2 linked regions of the Macaca mulatta genome follow. The protein of the gene in region 2 purifies or fractionates together with the protein of the main gene of each other region. This does not show direct contact. Links are inferred from orthologs where the notes say so. Each region holds a gene or a part of one and is shown on either strand. Other genes may lie near its edges.

Evidence for each region.
Region 1: the proteins of CCNL1 (region 2) and CSNK2A2 purify together in Homo sapiens (affinity purification with mass spectrometry; 4 studies listed by BioGRID and IntAct, with this or other methods). This does not show direct contact. The link is inferred for Macaca mulatta from reciprocal best matches to the Homo sapiens genes CCNL1 and CSNK2A2.

The regions. Positions count from the first base shown.
Region 1 is NC_133425.1:53,801,396-53,808,092, reverse strand, and holds the start of CSNK2A2 (casein kinase II subunit alpha'), read left to right. Parts: upstream 1-2,856; 5' UTR 2,857-3,227; coding exon 3,228-3,331; intron 3,332-4,112; coding exon 4,113-4,224; intron 4,225-6,697.
Region 2 is NC_133407.1:60,340,271-60,346,876, reverse strand, and holds the start of CCNL1 (cyclin-L1), read left to right. Parts: upstream 1-2,726; 5' UTR 2,727-2,779; coding exon 2,780-3,082; intron 3,083-3,388; coding exon 3,389-3,463; intron 3,464-3,900; coding exon 3,901-4,010; intron 4,011-6,606. UniProt on the Homo sapiens protein: Involved in pre-mRNA splicing. Functions in association with cyclin-dependent kinases (CDKs). Inhibited by the CDK-specific inhibitor CDKN1A/p21. May play a role in the regulation of RNA polymerase II (pol II).

The DNA of each region.
Region 1 (6,697 bases), on a different chromosome or scaffold from region 2:
AGGATTTAAATTCCAAAGTCCACTTTTTCCATTAATGTTTTTTTTTTCTAGTTTTTATTTTGAAAAATTTCAAATTCTACCAAAAAGTTGCAAGCTCATGTACTCTTGAACTACATTCACTAATTATCAAAAATTTCCCCCAATTCCTCCCCACTCTATGCATGCTTATGCTGTCAGAAACCCGCGTTTTTCTGGAGAACCATTTGAGACTAAATTGCAAATACTGGTTCTTCATCTCTACACACTTGGCATGCAACTCCTAAAATTATGGGATTCTCCTGCATAACTAAATACAATGATCATACTCACAAAATTTAACATTGATACAATATAACATTGTGTAATATACATTAACATTGTGTAATATACATCCTATATTCAAATTTCCCCTGGAGTACCCTTCTATTAGGTTGGTGCAAAAGTAATTGAGGTTTTCGCCATTACTTTCAATTGAATTTCAATAAGTTTTGCACCAACCCAATATGAGCTGTATTCTTTCTCCCTCCCTTCCTCCTTTCCTTTCTACTTAAAAAAAAAAAATCCAGACTCTAATTCAGAATCACACACTTCATCTAGTTATGTCTCTCGGTCTTCAGTAATCAAGAACACTCATCCAAGGTTTCGTTTGGTTTTCTTTCTCCTGACATTGACATTTTTGAAGAATCCAGCTTAGCTCTTTGGCAGAATGTCGCCCAGCTTGGATTTGGCTGATGGCGCCCTTATTATTAGATTCAGGTTAAATGTTTTGGCAGGAGTACCTCATGGGGGAGGTGTCCCTTCTCGTTGCATCACATCAGAGGATTAGTTGGTTCCCTACTGATGAGAAGTTTGGACCACGGATAAGGTGGTGACCTCGTTTCCCCTTGGTAATCCCTAAGTCATTTGTGGGGTAACACTGTATTCACTGAAGGTCTCTGACTGTGGCAAATGCTAGGCGAGCTAGTGGTGAGCACCCACACTCTGTCCTTGTTCTTGTGCTGTTTTTACAAGGGAGGAGACAGACAATAAGGAAACAAATAATGACAAGATATGCAGTTTTATGAAGGATGTGGATAGGGTGCTGAGATAGAGAAGTATCAACTGTAGAGAAAGTCATCTTTAAGGTGAGACTTGAGCTGGGGGCATGCCTGTAGTCCCAACTCCTCAGGAGGCTGAGGTGGGAGGATCGTGTAAGCCCAGGAGTTCTGGGCTGTAGTGCATAATGCCGATCAGGTGTCCACACTAAGTTTGGCATCAACTATCATGACCTCCTGGGGCTGGGGGACCACCAGGTTGCCAGGTGGCAAACAGCAGGTCAAAACTCCCGTGCGGATCAGTAGTGGGATCATTCCTGTGAATAGGCCACTGCACTCCAGCCTGGGCAATATAGTGATACTCTATTTCTAAAAAAAATACTACTAATAAAGAAAAAGGCGAAACTTGAATAGGGAAAAGGAGTCACCCTTGGGAAGGTGGGGTGGAGGGGTTGGTGGTGGCTCCTAGTTAAGCTTGGAGGATGGAAGGAACCAAAAGATGGATGCGTGGTGGTCTCAGGGAGGGAGGCATGATCAGAGAAAGGCCCTGGGTCTGGGAATAATCATATTGTACACATAGTATCTTAATATTGAACACCATCCTACATGTTTCACATGCTTTACCTTGTTTAATTCTCCTTGCAGCCCTGTGAAGTGAGTGCTATTACTGGTTTTGTGCTGTAGAATCTGTGACACAGAGAGGTTGAGTAATTGTCCTAAGGTCACACAGCTTCTAAGTAGCAGTGCTGGATAGATCTGACTCTACAGTCTGTGCTCTTAGCTGTGTCAAGGAGGAAGGCCCAGGATTTCATCTAGAAAACAGACTGTGAAAAGGGATTGGAATGAGAGCAACCTGCACTGGGTGCAGAGGTCCTGTCGATAAAGGATGCAGGATGGGAAAGGAAGACAAAGGAAGGGCCTAGAAGGTCCAAGGAGAAGGGTGTTCAGGGCTGCAAGCAACACTGGAAGCCAGGCCAGTTCAGTTGACCACCTACCCTGGTGCATCCCCAATCCCTGCTGTCCCTTCAGGTCGGATTTGCAATTCTGCTCTCCCTCCTCCTAAACACAAACAGGAGATTTACACACTCAAAGTCTCTCCCCACAAATAACTAACTAATCACAAAGGGAAAAATTGTAACTTTGCAGTGGCACAACCTGGCCGACGCCAGCTTAACCAAGTGACCAAAGTGGATATTCAGGGAAGGCTCTGGAAGGGCATTTGGGGGAAGCGTGGAAAGGTTTTGTGAGGACTCTGAATGACGGGGGTGGGAAGCTTTGGGGACTGAGGAGTCTACCCTAACAGGGCAGGGTCCAGAGGGGGAAGGAGGGGTATGTCTCCGGGAAAAGGAGAAGTATTGAGGTGGGAGAGGTTCTGAGGTTTGAGCGAGGCCCTGGGGAGGGACTTGACAGTTTGGGTGACAGGAGGGTCAGAATAGGGTCAGTATGGGAGGTGTCGGGTGGGTAAAAGCTGGGTGAGTGCAGGGCTAGGGGTAGGGTCTCCAAGGACAGTGAAAGGGTCGGGACTCGCGGGCGAGGGCTCTAGGGCAACGGCCAGTGGAAGGGGGGCTCCTGTGGCGTGAAGTCAGGCCAGCCCGAGGGTGAGGCGATTTGGACCGTCCGACCTGGGGCGACGGGAGGGCGAGGGTGCGGGACGGTGCGGGAGGGCGCGAGGTAGGCGGCGGGGCGTGCCGGGGCGGGGCCGGGGCGGGGCCGGCACCGCCCGGCGGGTCCCCCCGCGCTCCAGGGGGCGCTGTGAGCCTGGGCGGTCCCAGGCCGGGCGGCGGCCGCTCCCAGCGAGCGCGGCCCCTTTTCCGGGTTTCCTCCGCCTCCTCCTTCTCTCCTCCTTCTTCTCCGCTGCCGCGGCCGCTGCCCCTTTCCCGGCCGGTGGCTGCCACTGCCGGTGCCGCCGCCGCCACTGCCGCCGCCTCCTGGGGGCCGCGAGCCGAGCGGAGACCGCCGCGGATCGCGAGCGCCGCCCGCCCCGCCGCCCCGCCGGCCGCTCCAGGGCCGGGCCGGCTCGGCCGGCGCCCCCCGCGCCCCCAGCCCGCCCGCCCCCGCGGGCCCGGCCTGGCGCGGCCGCCCGCCGCCGCGTTCCTCCTCCTCCTCCTCCAGCGCCCGGCGGCCCGCTGCCCCCTCCGCCCGCCGCCCCGCGCCCTCCGCCGCGTCGCCGCCGCCACCCTCTGCGCCCCGCGCCGCCCCCCGGTCCCGCCCGCCATGCCCGGCCCGGCCGCGGGCAGCAGGGCCCGGGTCTACGCCGAGGTGAACAGCCTGAGGAGCCGCGAGTACTGGGACTACGAGGCTCACGTCCCGAGCTGGGGGTAAAGCCGCCGCCGCCCCCCGCCGGGCCCGCTGACCCCTGCCCCCGCCCGGCCACCCCCTGCGAACCGCACTCGGGCCCGGTGGTGTCTCCCGCCGACCCCTCCGCGGGCCCGCAGGGAGGCAGAGGTCCAGCTCTCGCACATGTCCTCGTCTTCCTCTTCCCTCCCCTTGTCCCTTTCTCCCCGCTTTGCGCACCTCTTTCCCCCAAGGAATGCTTTTTTACTCGGGGAGAAGTGTGGGGTCCAGGGATCGACGCCCGGTAAAAGTGAGGGAGTAGCCCTTCCTCACGCTTCTGGGTTTCCACTGGGGTGGGAAGTCAACAGCTGTCCTTTGGAGCTATTAAAATTCCCTGCCTTTTCGGTTTTCTGAGATGAGGTGGTGGGAGGAAATTTCTTAAAGACGTCCAGTTTTTTAAAACAGGCACTGTCTACCCTCAGGGTGTGAAACGGGAAGCAGGTGCTGGGGAGCCGCGGGGCACAGGGGGCACCCTCTAGGCCTTCAGGACGGGTGCTTTGCTCAGCCCTCTGGATTGGCTCAGAGCGTTGCCTTCCTGCCCCATCTTTCCAAGTTAGGAGAGACCAATTAGGTTAGGAGCTCTGCAGAGTGAAGGGAGCCAAGATTACGTCGTGGCTTTCATTTAGGGAATGAGTTGTGACGTGATGTATAGACACTTCCAAGTGTTTGCCTGTTGGAAGCGGCTGAATGACGTATACAGTGAGCATAGGCTTGCTTAGATTAACCCCCAGTCCTGGCATTTATGTGTGTGTCTTCCTTTTACAGTAATCAAGATGATTACCAACTGGTTCGAAAACTTGGTCGGGGAAAATATAGTGAAGTATTTGAGGCCATTAACATCACCAACAATGAGAGAGTGGTTGTAAAAATCCTCAAGGTGAGTGTCCTATGAGTGGTATGTAACATTTTTCCCCCCACAGGGCAGAAGGTTGTAAGCTACCCCAGTCACGTTCTAGAATGGGCAATGCAAGCTTGAATTTAATTTAATTTATTTATTTAGAGTCAGAGTCTCACTCTGTCACCCAGGCTGTAGTGCAGATCATAGTTCACTGCAGCCTTCAACTCCTGAGCTCAAATGATCCTCCCATCTCACCCAAGTAGCTGAGACTACAGGTGCATGCCACCACGCCCAGTTATTTTTAAAATTTTTTTGTAGAGTCAGGGTCTGGTCAAGTTGCCCAGGCTGGTCTTAAACTCCTGAGCTCAAGCAGTCCTCCAAAAGGACTCCTTGCAGGCCTCCTAAAATTGCTGGGTTTACAGGCATAAGCCGCTGTGCCCAGCCCACGCTCAGATTTTATTTATCTGATGTCCCTTCATTACTTCTTTTTCCACCCCATTTTGCTGTGAACTTTCAAGAAAATGTGCAGACTGGTCACAGATCTTAGTTCAAATCTAAGTTCAGGAAGGTGTTTGTTCTAAAAAGTAAATTGCCTAAAGCAAAAATTCCTAAAGGGCTCCATTTGTTAGAAAATAAATAGGTATTCAAAAGACAGGAAAGCCATTCTCAATTTAAGGGCTCCCTGAGCACTGTGTTTGTTAGTCTTGGTGCATGCTCTCCGTTGTTCCAGAAAGAAAGTTGGAAAAAATTGGAGCGACTTCAGAAATGTATGTCAAACCCAAGTGGAAGGAAATTCCTTAGCAGATAATCACTTGCTTTTTTTTTTCCTTTGGCAGTAAAGTTTCAGGTGGGATGGATATAGTGCGCCAGTAGTGCTGAGAAGCCTTGTTGGGAAGCCAGAGAGCCATTGTTGCTTATCAGCTAGTAAAAATGTAGAAGAATTCACGTATTATTACTAAAGCAATAATTGGAACAAAACGATTTTAATATATGGTTTAGCAATCAGTTTGATAATGATATGTCTTTTGTTATCTCTTCCATGAAGATGATTTTAATGAGCATGAAGGGTCGGCTAAATTTTCCTTCTGGTAACAGATTAATTGTATAGCTTTAATAATGTTTTATAGGCTATAGTAAAAAGTAGTTCTTAGAATCTGTGATGGGTCTTCGTTATTGCCAGATCATTTCATGTGGTTACATGTCATTTAGTGAGAGATTGAGAAGACGGAAGAGTGACGTAAGCACTTTGCATACATGTGATTTCCAGTGTGGCCCTTTTGCAGAGGTTCTGTGGACTAAGAATGTGGAATTGAAAAGCTGTTTCTGTGTGTTAGAGCAGCTGTGTAGGTAATCACTGTTTAATGTGAGGGGTCAGGCTTATGCTTCCTGGTAATCTTTCAGAAAAAATGATTAACTCCATCACTCAAAACATCCTAGCCTAGTGATGAAGAAGCAGAATTGCAGTAAAGAGAAATAGACAGTTACTTGTGTTCTCAGACACACTGGGGATGAGAAGTGAGGAATTGATGTTGAAGATACTGAGTGTGACTCCTCTCTTCCCTAAATATGTATTGCATTTATGAAGTCACAAGGTTTTTTTTTTTTTTTAAGTCACAGGGAAATTACCTTAAAAAGCCATACATTAGCTTTATATATATAAGCATAAGTTTTTAATAAGCTGCTTCAAATCTAAGAAATAAGCGAGGCGTAAATTGAAATTAGGAATATCCACATTCCACTGCTGTATATTCAGAAGAATGAATTGCTGACTCTAAAGCAATTCCGGAAAAATGTCTGAACTTTTGTGCTATGGCAGCATTTTTAGAATAAGTGTACGATTTTCTGTGGTGCTTTTTTTTTTGAAAGGAATAGCATTCAGGTGTATGTATAAATCCCAGCATGTTCATTTAGGAGAGCATCACATTGCTGCTTCATCATCTGAAGAGCTTCATAGGCTCTAGCTTTCTCCTACTCTAAAGATTCTCAGCAGATGTTAGGAAACCCAGTATGTAAGCTGCTGCAGGTTATCTTTACAAATGGGAGACCTAGGCACAAAGAAACTTACCTAATGTCATTATGTTGAATGACCATTAGCCAGAACTCCTGTTTCCTATTTCTTCATATTTCTTACTGTTCATTTTAGCATTGGATTGTAGGATCTGAACGTTGAGCACAGAAACAGGTACCAGTGTCCTGGAATCACACTTGGGAGGCCCCTAGTTAATGAAATGTTTCTTGTTTCTTCTTGACATTGTTTGTTTTCACAGTGCAGCCTAAACCACTAGTGAAACTACACTCAATTATTTATGTTTTTTAAAGCCCGGTGGCATTTCTATCCAGATTTTGTTCCTGTCTGAAGGATGGGGTAATACATCACTAATGGCATTATTGTGATTTTGTTGTTTTGTGAATTGAAAGTATTACTTTTTAAAAAGAACAGGATCTTTAGCCAAAGTTGTGTTTCTTTATTCAAATAAGTTGAAGTTATGACTAATAGCTACTATTGTGGTGC
Region 2 (6,606 bases):
TGCCAGACCCAGGAATACGAGGCCCTGCTGAACATCAGGGTCAAGCTGGAGGCTGAGATTGCCACCTACCGCCACCTGCTGGAAGACGGCAAGGACTTCAATCTTGGTGATGCCCTGGACAGCAGCAACTCCATGCAAACCATCCAAAAGACCACCATCCACTGGAGAGTGGATGGCAAAGTGGTATCTGAGACCAAAGACACCAAAGTTCTGAGACATTAAACCAGCAGAAGCAGGGTACCCTTTGGGGCAGGAGGCCAATAAAAAGTTCAGAGGTCAAAATTAAGTTAAATTATATTATTCTCAAGTCATTACAAATATAGGTAATGATTTCATTGAAGTCCAATGTTTCAATGAAGTCCATAATCAATTAGGGTTATTTGGAAATAAGACATGAAAGTTGCAAAAACAGACTTCTCCTATATATTCCTCCAACTTTCCCCAATGATAATATCTCACACAACCAAAGGTTATCAAAACCAGAAAACTGACCAGGCACAGTGGTGTGCCACTTATAGTCCCAGCTACTCAGGTGGCTGAGGTGGGAAGATCCCTTGAGTTCAGTAATTCAAAGCCAGCCTGGGCAACACAGTGAGACAATGGCTGTAAAAACAAAAATGGAAGAAAACCAGAAAACTGGTGTCATCAGTTGTGTTTAAGGAAACCAAGTCTCCTTTAAAAGTTTGTTATAAAATTATAGATCTCTCATAAATACTGAGGTGGAAAGATTCCCTGGAAGCAGCCTAGTCAGAAAGTGAAGACAGTGACATCCAGATAGGTTAATACTTCTGCCAGCACCATAATTACACTCTCTTGGCTGTACATTCCAATCACTGGAAGACAGGCAAAATTGAACCACTGGCTGGGCCCACCTTAAATCAATGGCCTCAACCTCTGCAGACAAGGCTCAATTATCAGTACGTTTTAAAACAACTTTGCCGCTGAAGGTTCACTTAAATAATCAACTGGTAAGGCCAGGTGCGGTGGCTCATGCCTGTAATCCCAGCATTTTGGGAGGCCACGGCGGGCGGATCACCTGAGGTCACGAGTTCAAGACCAGCCTAGCCAACATGGTGAAACCCCCTCTCTACAAAAATACAAAAATTAGCTGGGCATGTGGTGTGTGCCTGTAATCCCAGCTAGGGGAGGCTGAGGTGGGAGAATCGCTTGAACCCGGGAGGCGGAAGTTGCAGTGAGCCGAGATCGCGCCACTGCACTCCAGCTTGGGCGACAGAGCGAGACTCCACCTTAAAAAAAGAAAAAAAAAATCAACTGATAACAGGCGATTAACAGGAGACAAGGCATACATAACACCGGAATAATAGCAGGAGAATCATTACCCAGTAGCTTAATGGAGTACAGAAGATTTTATATCCTTTTTTTCATAGGGGAAAGGGGAGATGGGAAATGTAGACATTTATTTTGAGAAGCAGCAAATGATTATTAGGAAGAATGAATGGACAGAAATTAATTAGCAAATAATTTTCTTTTGAGTTATCTTGTGAAAAAGTCCCTCCAGGCATGGCTGCATTTCTGTCTTTCTGAAATAGGATACCAGATCTCAGTGAGGGGAGGAATGCGATTGTTTCTTCTACAAAGAGGCTTCTCTAGTCTGGGAATGAAATTTCAGAGAGTACCTCCCCGCACTTGGGGAAAGGGCGGGCAACAAGTCAAGGTTAGGGGGACCTGCATTATGAGGCAGCTTCTAAAGCCTCTCAGTCTTTGGGGTATCGCTTTCTGAGCGTCAAGAGTAAAACGTGATGCATTACTTTCCTTCCAACCTAGATTCTAGTAGTTTAGATCAGTATCATCGTTTTTACCTCAATGTTCAGGAAACGCTGGAAATTTCTAGCTAACATCACAGAAAAAAAAAACCCACGAGGTTGACTTCACCTATTCTGCCTACCCTCGGCAGGTAACTATGTATGAACTGACACTCCCAGGCATAATCAAATTACCTCTGTCAAGTCCTCGCCCTAAGACTATTTTTGGAAACTAGGGATTTTCCAGATTACTGAAAGCCTTGTCAGTGTCAAAGGCCGGGCAGGAGTTTCGCAAGCGGAGCTACGAAAGCAGCCGCCCTCACGGTCATTCCTGTGCCTCCGCCCTACTTCCCCACACTGGCAAAAACACGCCCCCCGGGGAACTTTCATCGGAACCGATACAGTCCACTGTCCTGTGTTCTTCAAATACTGTAAAGCAGGATAAATACTGTAAAGCAGCCCTCTCCAGTTTCCTTGAGGGTCACTTTATATTACACATTCGTCCACACACGACACCAGTCACCACTTTCACCCGCCAAAGCGCGCTCAGGTCGGCCGCCACTTCCCTTGGTACATGCGGAACACTAGCCGCGCCGAGGTTAAAGGAAGAGGCCGGAACGCAGGGTGAAGGGGCGCAGAGATGATAGCCAACGCCGCCATCTCTATTTTGGGCATAAGGGATCTTGTAAAGCTCCATTATTCGTGTGGCTAAGTATCACAAACAAGGTGGTGTCGACAGGCCTTGGCTAGAGAAGGCCTCCTTAGCCACTGATGACCCCAAGGTCTGTCGCAGCACCAAACACTCCTCGCAGGCCCGGATGCCGAGGGCGGAGGCGCGGCCTGAAGGGACTAGTTGGCGCGCGGCGGCCCGGCGTGGTGACGTCAGGGCGGAAGCGCACGCGGCGTGAAGCGGCCCAGAACCCGGCGGTCACGGGAATATCCGTCGCGCCGAGAACGCTGGTTAGTCTTGTTTCGGGTTCCGGCTGCGTTGAGCTTGCGTGCAGCTCGCTAAGACTATGGCGTCCGGGCCTCACTCGACAGCTACTGCTGCCGCCGCCGCCTCGTCTGCCGCCCCAAGCGCGGGCGGCTCCAGCTCCGGGACGACGACCACGACGACGACCACGACGGGAGGGATCCTGATCGGCGATCGCCTGTACTCGGAAGTTTCACTCACCATCGACCACTCTCTGATTCCGGAGGAGAGGCTCTCGCCCACCCCATCCATGCAGGACGGGCTTGACCTGCCCAGCGAGACAGACTTACGCATCCTGGGCTGCGAGCTCATCCAGGCCGCCGGCATTCTCCTCCGGCTGCCGCAGGTCAGTGCTCTGGCCCTGGGTCGGCTGGGCGCTCCTCTCCTCCCCTCCGTCCCCTACGCCGCATCCCCGTATCACTGTGCCCCGGGAGGGTGGGGACGGCTCCCTCAGGCTCTCCCATTCGGGGCCCAGCCGGGGCCGGGGTGTGCCGGGGCGGGGGGCTGCGGAGGCGGAGGGAGGACCTGGCAGCGGGCTGTTCGCGGCGGCGGCGGGAGGGGAAAGGGAAGCGATCGGCGGCACAAAATGGCGGCGGCGCCTGGAGCGGGCCCGCCTGACCCCTGCGCTTCCGTTCTCCTCTCTTGTCTGCAGGTGGCGATGGCAACGGGGCAGGTGTTGTTTCATCGTTTTTTCTACTCCAAATCTTTCGTCAAACACAGTTTCGAGGTAAGCACAGCGGAGGCGGGTAAAAGGGATTTCTTCATCCGGAAATGGGCAGAAGTAGGGGTAGTGTTAGCAGCCAGCTTTTCCAGAAAGGGAGTGGTTTAGTTTAGGCCTTTGTACCTACTTCTCACTCGCCAGGAAGTGGAAACCTTTAGAGTGTGGTTCACAATCCAGAAAATGGATCCCGAGCCTAAGTGCCCTCTTAACGAGAAGTAGTTTTCAACCAAATACAGAAGTGCTGTGAGATTGAGCTTGACTCTGGAACCAAAATTAAGATGAGTGGAACAACAAAGAGTGTAGTACTAGCATAGCTGGTAGGCTTATGGCATAGAAATGTCCGCTCTAATTTTACTAAAGATTGTCCCACTTGTGTTCTAAAGTTTATTCTTCAAAGTGAGTTTAATCTAACAATGGCTTTTGTGGCTCGTGGCTTCTTACAGATTGTTGCTATGGCTTGTATTAATCTTGCATCAAAAATCGAAGAAGCACCTAGAAGAATAAGAGATGTGATTAATGTATTCCACCACCTACGCCAGTTAAGAGGAAAAAGGTAAGATTGGCATTATTGAACATAGCATCACTTGCTACTGCTGTACTGTGCACTTGTCATCAAATCAAAACATCTTTCCTCTCAAGTGAATATGGATGCAAAAGAAAACGGACTTTAATTTAGGTGTTAAAGTTCATATAGGAACACTGATATTTAAAATAATTTGAAAAAAGAAACATAATTAACCGGTTATCTAAAGTTTGTAGAGGCAGTTGCATTTATGGACAATCCTAACAGTGCTGTGAAGCCAGGCCTGTGGCTTAAGATTAAACAAGAAAGGGAGTACATTTGGCTCAAGTGTGAGTGTATTCTGTAAGTTATTTTTCCTCTCCCCTCTCTGGAAGACTGAAGGCTGTGGAAGTTTAAACACTGTAGTTTAAGTTAATATTGTGGCAAAGTTCTGTGTAGATTATGTTTTTCTACTCGAAGTCCCAGTTAATTCTTTATCAATTGAGGTTGGCTTTTGTTAGAGTACTTCTCAACATTGAACTACGATATATCGAATAATACCGGATCTGAAAGGACTGCAGGATGATAAAGTTTGAAGTTTGAAGTCAAAGGGAATAAACAGGTATTTTGTTTTGGTCAGATACAGTCTCAGTGAGTGGGTTAGAAAATTAACAAGATTGACTGGGTTGCATTTAGATAAGGCTCATTTATTTGATGTTGTAAGAAAATACAGAGACTGAAATAGTATCTCCTAGGTGTTGTGGTAACATAATTTTATGTGGACCTATGTGTTCCTGTGAGGCAGTACCAAAAAGTTTGTTGCAGGACTTCCTGCATCTACAGGTGACTTTCAGTACATGCTGCAGAAGGATATAGTTGGTGTAGATTAGTTTTTGTATTCACTCTTTAAGGAATTGTAGTGATGTTAGTCAGTGTACTGAGTTTGAAAGGAAGTTATTAAAAGGATTATAAGTTGTTCTGGGGGCTGGGTATGTTGGTTAGTGCTGTTAGTATCCTATATGTGTAGTCCTTATTGGCTGAATCTGTAAGTTGGCAGTAATGGAACTATTCAGACAAGCAAATATTAAAGCAACTTTTAGATGACTAGTCTATTCTGTGAGTCTACAGACAGTTCTTTTTTTAAAAAAAATATCCTAGTCAAAAAGTCTGAAACAGTTTTTCTACATACTTTTTCTCCCCCATCTTTTCTCATTCACCTTAACTGTGTCCAGGGATAGAGTAATTTTTAAATTCTAAAACATCTTTTAGTTTGTTGATGAGTCCCTGGGAATTGGGAAGATTTCAAATTGGTCTTTGGTATGGTCTGAGCTTTAATCTGTATTTAGATACCTGGCTGATTCTTCAGGATGTTTAAAGTTATGACACTAATACAAGGCTCTATCTTTAGTCAAAGGTTTCTCTTTGCTTAAAGGAAATGGTTTTCTAGTATTATTCTTTGAACCATTGAGCCAGCTATTATGTAATCATATGATTATCTTTTGTGAAATTTTCCTGTGAGACTAAGTTTTCTTCCTTGATGTCAGAATAGGTCTTACCTGTAAAAACCATGGAATTTAAAATAATATAATCTCACCTGATCGTTGTGTCTGATGTAACTTTGTTTTTTGGGTCATTATTACAGAGAAACTGATTTTGTTTCAATCTTAGAAGTCTGATTATAGCAAAATTTAAAAGGAGTTGTTAATTGCATGGAAGCCTTTTTTTAAAGCAGGATGTAAAAGTGTTTCTATGCATATTACAAGTTTACTCAAGCACGTAACTTGTATATGTTATTAACTTCAACTCTTTTTTCCCTTGCAACCGACTATACAGCGACCAGCTACATTTACCAAAGCCTGGGTGATGTGGAGTGGTACATAGAGATGAAGCTGTCGTCATGGCAACAGTGAGTGAAGTATCGAAAATCCCCAAGGAGAAGCCAGTGCTCTGAGAATAGGTCACTGGAATCGGGGACTAACAGGTTGGCCACTGGTGAACCATTTAGAAAAACTCCTGTTTCTTGTTACAAGCTTTTGTCTTTGCTGTCCAAGTTATTAAAACTATAGCTTTGTATTTATTTTTGCACAGGTTAATGTCATTAGAAAGTACTGTCGGTATTATACGTTAGTTAGGTAAAGCATACTTGTCTTGATGATGCTATTTGTTTTAATCTAGTTTATTCATAACTTTAAATTGTAGTGTGACTGTGACAGTTACAGTGGAGATACATTATTCATGTCGCCTGTAGGTCATTGGTCTCTTCACCCTGGCTACACATTGAGAATTAGCAGAGGAGCTTTTTAAAAAGTACCAGTGCTTAGTTCCCAACCTGGATTGTTTGGCCTATTCCTCCTTCAATTTTTTGTGGTTCAATAGTTATCTTTTAAGTTCACAATAAATGGCTAAATTTAAAGGGACGATTGCTTTTTCACTGTAGTAGTTTCCAAATATTTACTTTTGAGATGCAGCGTATTAAAATTTTCAAAGACTGCTTTAACCATTCTCATTAGTAAATGTCATGTATTTTCAGTGTATCCATAGATAATAAAAGTTGGATAGGTACGAATTGGAAAGGTATTAAGTGATGTTATTTAATCTACCAGTTTTCTATAGTATAATTCTGTGGCTCTACAAGGTGGCCTTCAGT